Linked DNA regions of Cricetulus griseus. The protein of the gene in region 2 interacts with the protein of the main gene of each other region in a pairwise test. Links are inferred from orthologs where the notes say so. Each region holds a gene or a part of one and is shown on either strand. Other genes may lie near its edges. The genes, in order: Rnf144b and Ube2u.

The links.
Region 1: the proteins of Ube2u (region 2) and Rnf144b interact in a two-hybrid assay, tested with the Homo sapiens proteins (2 studies listed by BioGRID and IntAct). The link is inferred for Cricetulus griseus from reciprocal best matches to the Homo sapiens genes UBE2U and RNF144B.

Annotation. Positions count from the first base shown.
Region 1 is NC_048596.1:266,950,039-266,953,871, reverse strand, and holds part of Rnf144b (E3 ubiquitin-protein ligase RNF144B), read right to left. Parts: intron 250-3,833; coding exon 145-249; intron 1-144.
Region 2 is NC_048595.1:49,096,949-49,100,781, forward strand, and holds part of Ube2u (ubiquitin-conjugating enzyme E2 U), read right to left. Parts: intron 3,411-3,833; coding exon 3,318-3,410; intron 367-3,317; coding exon 269-366; intron 1-268. UniProt on the Homo sapiens protein: Catalyzes the covalent attachment of ubiquitin to other proteins.

The DNA.
Region 1 (3,833 bases), on a different chromosome or scaffold from region 2:
AGCTCTGTGTGGCAATAAAACACTCCTTTAAAAAGTTAGCCTCTGTATTTTGTCACTAACTCCCTAGTATGCAATACTTAAGAGTCCAGATGCTAAGACATAATTCAGCAGGGCAGAAGGGAAGGCGACAGCATGCATCCATACCTCTGTTTCTTGCAGGGTCCCGTGTTTTATGCACACCATGTCAGGACAAGTGATGGGAGACCCACATCCTTCTCGGATTGACAGCATCATATACTGTCGCAGGCACTATAAGAAGGGGGAAAGAAGCAGATATTTTAAACATCACATCCACTACAGTAGCGCAAAGGTTACATAAGAGAGCATCCACAGCGTCTTCCTAAATTGGCTGTCCTGGGGTTCCTGTACTCAGGAAACATAAGTTATCACAAGTGTGGGTACTAAAGAGCCATCACTTTGGAAAGAATGCAGAGCCAGAAGATTAATCACAGATGACTTCATTTTAAGCGTTTTTTCAAGTCAGACTCCCACGTGCTCACTCAGTTTGTCTGCCTTAGACTGGGAAAAGAAGAAGCACTTTCGAATCCACAGCAAAAGCCTCCATGCTTAGTTTCTTTTCAAACCCGATTTGATTTCCCAATTCTAGTTTGTTTGTTTGTTTGTTTGTTTTAATTTTGTATGTATTATTTTATTTTATGTGTATGAATGTTTTTCATGTGTGTGTGTGTGTGTGTGTGTGTGTGTGTGTGTGTGTGTGTGTATGTGACACAGAGGTCAGAAGGGGGCATCAGATCCTCCAGAGCTGGAAATATGGATGGTTAATGAACCACCACGAGGGTGCTCAGAACTGACCCCAATCCTCTGCAATCCTCTTAACCATCCCCCCATTTCCCTAGCACCCCCAATTCTGTTTTTAATCTAGTGAACCTCTCTTGTAAGTTTACCTGAAAGTAGAATGACCCTCACTCTGGGATCCCGGACCTAAGATACCCAAACAGAATCAAAATACTGATAAGGACTGAGTTATACAGGAAAAAGTCAGGTGGCTTCCTGCTGGCTTCGGATAGCAAAGACAACTTGAAAGAACAGGCCATCCCAAAAACAGAAGCCTTACTGGATGCCACCATGTTGACAAGGGTTTTGATGTGTTTTGTTATTGTGTTTTGCTTTCTTTTGTTTGTTTTGTTTTTGGACATAGGGTTTCACTATGTAGCCCAGGAAGAACTAGAACTTTCCGTCCACCTGCCTCAGCCTTCCAAACTGCATGTCCCACCAGGTCCTCTTGAAGAGCTTGGGACAGGAAAATTAAAGAATGAGTTCCAGGACAGCCAGAACTGTTACACAGAGAAACTCTGTCTTACAAAAGACAAAAAAACAAAGAATCAGTGCTGTGCATCATTACATAAACCATTAAATCAGAGTCTGTGGTCAGAATCTAGCACAGAATCGTGAAATCTATGACTTTTCCTGACCTCTTAAAATTAGTTTTCTTCATGTGAAGACGGAACCCAAGCAGCACTGTTATATTTCATTTAAAATCGTGTATTTTTCTAACTGAAATGACAAACCATACACTGTCACACAAAGGCTGCCATCCCAGGGGACCTTGCAAAGGGCTGCCTACCACTCTGCTTCTAGAGATTCCCCTGTCTCCCTTCAGCCACACGGTTCCAATACTACTGCCTTTACCCTCTCCTGCCAGCAGCCACTCACAGAAACTGAGGAAAACAGGCTCTAAAAATATGTGCTGCCCAGGCTCAAGGGGAAAGTATATGAGAAAAACAAAGTGATACTGTGTGACAAACTTCAGAGCATAGCAGCTGAGGTGTACACCTGCTGACAGTGGCAAATGACTCTACCTAGGACCCAGATGCATGTCCTCATCATTTGTAAACTAGGGAAGATAATGTCTGTTTAGTTACAGGGTTTCATGTGTGCACACACAGAGAGAGACAGACACACACACACACCCCTAAAACGAGGCCTTTGTAAGTTTCTGAATTGCTTCATCTTAGACCAGTCCACCCTTTGGAGTTCTGACATCTCCTTTCCAGACTCTCTCCAAGGAACCGGTTAAACCACCTGGAGCAGAGACGCTGCCCAGACAGAAAAGGTGTGTGAGCCAGAACATTCCACCAGCCTGTAGACAAGCTTCTCCTCAGGACTCTTTGGGGTACAGAGAAAGCTTAATGTTGCATAGTAACTAGAGAGCTATCACTCAAGTTTAATAGGCAAAAATGATTACTTAAACTTACATTGCAAATTTGTACAGTTGAACCATCAAGGTTCCCCACTGGCTTATAGTAGATGTTCCATTTGCTAATGCCAGGTCCATAGGTGTTTTGCAAACCATAATATGTCAACTAATGAATTTAGAAGATTTCCACACAAGCATTCCCATGTCTCCAAAAAATACAGTGTGCTGCAATTTTTGGAGCAAGGTTGGAGCTGTATGCACAGTTGGACCACAGGTGTTGAGTGCATTCTTTTTATTCTGAGACACTTTTTTGTTTGAGATGCTGAAGCATTAGTGTAGGTGGTTAAGCAGCTGGGAGCTCAGGCACATGACAGGCCATCAGTGTGGCCATGCACTTTACCCAAAGTAGAGGAAGAACAGTTAGTCCCAGCCACTGCTCCGTATCACATTTTTCAAGTGCCTGTGTTCATGGTTTCCATTAGCTTTCACTGAAAAATACCATCTCAAACCTTCTCCTCATCCCTTCAGCTGGCTAAAGAAGCACAAAAGAATCAAAAATATTTTACAAGAACTAAACAAGTCAAACTCTGGTAAAAAACTAACAATTCTGGAGAAAAAAAAAACCTGGCACCTAGCTTACACAGAAAGAGAAACACACAAAACTACCACCATTTGCTACGTTTAACAATTGCATGTCATTAAACTTGAGCAGTGTACAGATCTTGCAGTTTTCTATATGACTGACAAAGTCTAAGGTGATGTTTCAAAAACATTTCAAAAGCCCAGATGACTAATAAAAGGGAGAATTGGTCTTTTTGTGTCGTTACCTTTCATTTAAATGGCTTGAAGGAGCATAGATAAATACTTGAAGACCTTAAAGGTCATAAATAAAACCAAGACTCCTCACCTCACTCACTCTACAGCCCACAAGGATTTCAATTCGATGTAGTCAAGCATTCAACCACCAAACACATGGCAAGCCAGGTGATTCGTATTGTTCCTTCCAACTCAGTCTATGAGTTATGTCAATGGAATTTTTCAAGGAAGGGTTTTTTTCAAGGTTGTTGTTCACCCTATGTCAAAGGACATGGCGTTCTTCATAAGATGTTCTCAACAGTCTTAGAGACATGGCGAAAAAGCTTGTAATGTACCCATCTAAGAACAAGCTACGGGCATAGACAGATAGGCAGAAAATAGCTGGATAGATGACAGATAATTGATAGATGATAGATGGATAATTGATAGGTGATCGATTGTTGATAGATGATTAATGGATTATAGATGATAGGCAGATGATAGATAGACAGATAGATAATACATGAATGATAGGTAGACAGTCAATATATAATTGACTGATAGACTGATTGATGGATGATAGGTAGATAGGGGATATATAGATGATTGATAGACCAATTAATGGATGATAAATTTCTGGTTTTGTGTGTCCTTTACTATACTGCTTGTTTCACTCAGAGCTTCCATCTGTACCTTGTCAGAAAGGCCTTCTCAGCTAAGACCAATTCCCTACCTCTATGGGTCTCTTTCCATGGTGTATTTCCTTATCTACTTGTATTTCCTCATCTATCTTGTGTTCTGAAGGATCCTAGAAAAATGCAATGCCCCAATACACATCACTGAATGACTCACACATCAGATGAACTCTGAATTCTCTTCT
Region 2 (3,833 bases):
CATTTTGATTGACACCAGCTTGCTCAGATCCTAAAGCATCTGAATACACTGTGTACATGTTAAACCTTGTGTGATGAATAAGTAGGAGCATTAAATGTGTTAAACCATTAAGTTAGGCATGGTGGTGCATGCCTGCCATCCCAGCACTCAGAAGGTGGAGGCAGAATAATCAGGAGTTCAAGGCCAGGCTGGGGCTACATTGTGAGGCCCATCTTAAATAGAATCTCAGAGAGAGAGAGAGAGAGCATTAAGATAACTGTATTCTTACCTGTAGAGCAAGTAAGATGCTGCTTATTGTATAATTTGTGTTCCAGTTGTCACGGCTGTCCAAAAAGTCTATACTGGGCTGACCGGTATATGGGTCTACTGTATTAAAACAATGTATTAATTTTTAGCATTCGAAACTTATAAAGCATCATAGTGACACATCAAGAAAATTATTTCATCTACTCTTCCTTTTTTCCTATTTCATATAATGATAATCACTGCGTGGATCTCCAGTGCCCGCCAGCTTTAGTTGATTATAGGCTCCGGTTGCAGCAATTCGATAATATGAATTTCAAATATAGTATTTTTTTGAGGCTTGTGAGTGTGTATGTGTGTGATTTACATGTGCATGTGTGATGATTTGAAGTATATGGGAGAGGCTTCAGCAAGGCCATGGGCTAAGTGTACTGGGAATGTGCATGCCTGTGAATTCCCAGAAGCCCGAGGAGGAGGCCAGGTACCCTGCTCTGTTTGTCTCTATCGTACTTCTTTGAGAAAGGGTCTCTCATTGACACTGGTGGTTAGCAAGCCCTCGAAATCCTCTCGCTTGGAGATCCCCTCTCCCCTCACAGTGCTGGTGTTCTAGGTGTGGGTGGCTGTGGCTGTGGTTTTATATGGGTGCATAGGATTTGAAATCAGGTCCTTATGCTTGCACAAGCCATCTGTCCAGCTTCAAAACTAATTTACTCACAAAATAATAGTGGACATTGGAGGGGAAAAGTATATAAGAAAATATAAAGTAAAACATGAATGTCCCCTGCCTAGCAATTCTGTTCTTAAGTCACATTGATCTACAAACTTCCCTCTGTATACCTGTAAGTGCTCATCTCTTTATCACATGAAAGGACACTTTTACATTGTGTTTTCAAGGTTTTTTTTTTTCATTTAAAATAAATGTGCAGCATATTTCTAGTTGTATTTATTTATTAAAACTGACTTAAATTCATCTGTCTCTGTGTGTGTACGCATGTGCACAGACACCTGTACTCCAGTATATTCCGAGAGGTCACAGGACGTGTGGGAGTTGGGGATTGTCAGGCTGCTCAACTAGTGCCCTTCCCTGCTGGATCACTTTGCTGGTCCAGATAGTTTATTAAAAAGATAGGTAAGCACCTACTATGTGCCAAGCAATAACGATTCTAGGGACACTTGCAGTGACAAAGAAAATCTAGTTTTCATGAGTCTTCCTTTTTCTATACAGGGGAAAAATATATTATATAGAAAATTTTACTTAAAAACTTCCTGTGTAAAAAAATTCCTTTGTCAGCAGATATTGTTTGTATGCATAGGTTTGAAATTCATGGGTTCAAGTGAGGTTCAGAAATATTCAGAAAAAAAAACAGCATTCATATTGAACTTGTACAAACATTTTTCTTGTCAATATTTCTGAGACAATGTAGTAATCAACCATGCACATAGCATTTTCATTGTTAAGTAACCCAGTGATGATTTGAAGTATATGGGAGAGGCTGCAGCAAGGCCATGGGCTAAGTGTACTGGGAATGGGCATCCTTCAATATAACATACTCTTGTGCTACTATGTCTACAGAATAATATATAAGCCTGGAATATATATATATATATATATATATATATATATATATATATATGTGTGTGTGTGTGTGTGTGTGTGTGTGTGTGTGTGTGTGTGTGTGATATAGCTGATTAGAAATTTTCAAATCACTTCCCTAAAAGGTCACCATTATGTCAAGGATTGATGTCTGCTCAAGCTCACTAAAAATGAGTTTTGATGTCTTTTAAAATTTTGTAAACAGAAGTGATGAATCACAATATCTTATGTTTTGATATGCATCTATTTTCTTCATAATGAGATTGTGGTGTTGTGTTCTGTCTATCCAGTGTTTGTTCATGGATTTCACACTGTTTTCTGGTAGTTCACAAGGGTTCTTTTTTTTTTTTCCTATTTTTTTTATTTGAATTAGAAACAAGATTGTTTTTCATGTCAATCCCGGTTCCCTCTCCCTTCCCTCTTCTCTTGCCATGCCCCCCCCCCCCACTAAAACCCTACCTATATCACATACCCTTTCTGCTCCCCAGGGAGGGTGGAGGCCTTCCATAGGGGCTCTACAGAGTCTGTCATATCCTTTGGGACAGGGCCTAGGCCCATCCCCTTGTCACAGGGTTCTTTATGTGGTGTAGATATTCTATCCTGTACCATGAGTGGTCCCTGAGTTTGCATAATGCAGTTTTATTATTTTCTTAGTTTGTTTATAATGTGCACAGCTACAAAGGTTTTTAAAAGCTTATAGTTTAGACATCATAGTTTTCAGTAGTTTCAGGGGCTCCTATAGAAGCCCACAAACAGTTGCATTACCTTGTCTACTGTTTTAGAATGCAATTAAAGAAAATGCCATGCTTCAGGCAACCACTTTGCACAGAACTCAGCAGAGCAATCTGACATACTTTTCCCCAAAGATTAAGTTGTCTCGTATATTGTTTTATAAGATGAAAAATTAGATTCAACTTAAATAATACATGATGTGTGGATATGTGTACTATCCAGCCATTTAACATGGTCTTTTACAGAATGTATAGAAATGCAGGACGGGGCTGGGGAGATAGCTTCTCTGTCAAGAGCACTGCTGAGCTTGGTTCGTAGCACTCACACTGGGTGGTGCATAATGACCTGTAACACCAGCCCCGGAGGATCCAAAACTCTCTTCTGACCTCTATGGGCACCACACTCATGTGCACACCCACCACCCCTTCACATACATACATAATTAAAGCTAGGAAGTTTAAAAATGCATTTAAAGTAAAGCTAGATAAAACTGTATATCACATCTCAACTGTGGAAAAATTTGCACACAGAAAAATGAGGATCTATGTGGTAAAATATTGAAAATGATTTCACTATAGGATTCAAAGGGATTGTTATTTTTTTCTGCTTTTTAAAGTTTTTCCAATGAGTATTCTTACTTTAATTGTAAGTTGTTAAAGGGGAACATGGTTATTAAACACCCTCCCAAAAGATTGCATAGACAAAGCCACAATAACACAATAATAAGAGAGTCTCACTTAGTCCTTACCATTTGGATGAAAAGGAATTGTTAGAAATTTCACAACTGGAGGAACAAGGTTGTACTCTGGTGTAAAATCTATTGTCAGGTGGAAGACAAACCCTGTAATATAAAAATGAATAATGCCATTAAAGTGTTATGGTTAGCTCTAGCCTGATCGAACACTGGAGGTTTTTCTATGATTAAACTTATCCATTATTTTCTTGTTTTTTCCTTCAATATAAATTTCTTCTTTAAATATATAGTGTGTGTGTGTGTGTGTGTGTGTGTGTGTGTGTGTGTGTGTCTGTGCATGTGCATGTAGGTTACAGAACAACATGCCAAAGTTAGTTCTTGCCTTCTACTACATGGGTTCTGGGATTTGAACTTGTGTCTTTAGGCTTGGCAGCAAATGCTCTTACCTGCTGAGTCATCTCACCAGCTGCTTCCCTGTGATTTTCTTAAATTCCTTCACTGTGCACAGGCCATTCTTTGTTGTGAACCAGACCCTTTGCCACATTACTGGCCTCGGTTTTTGTTTCTTTC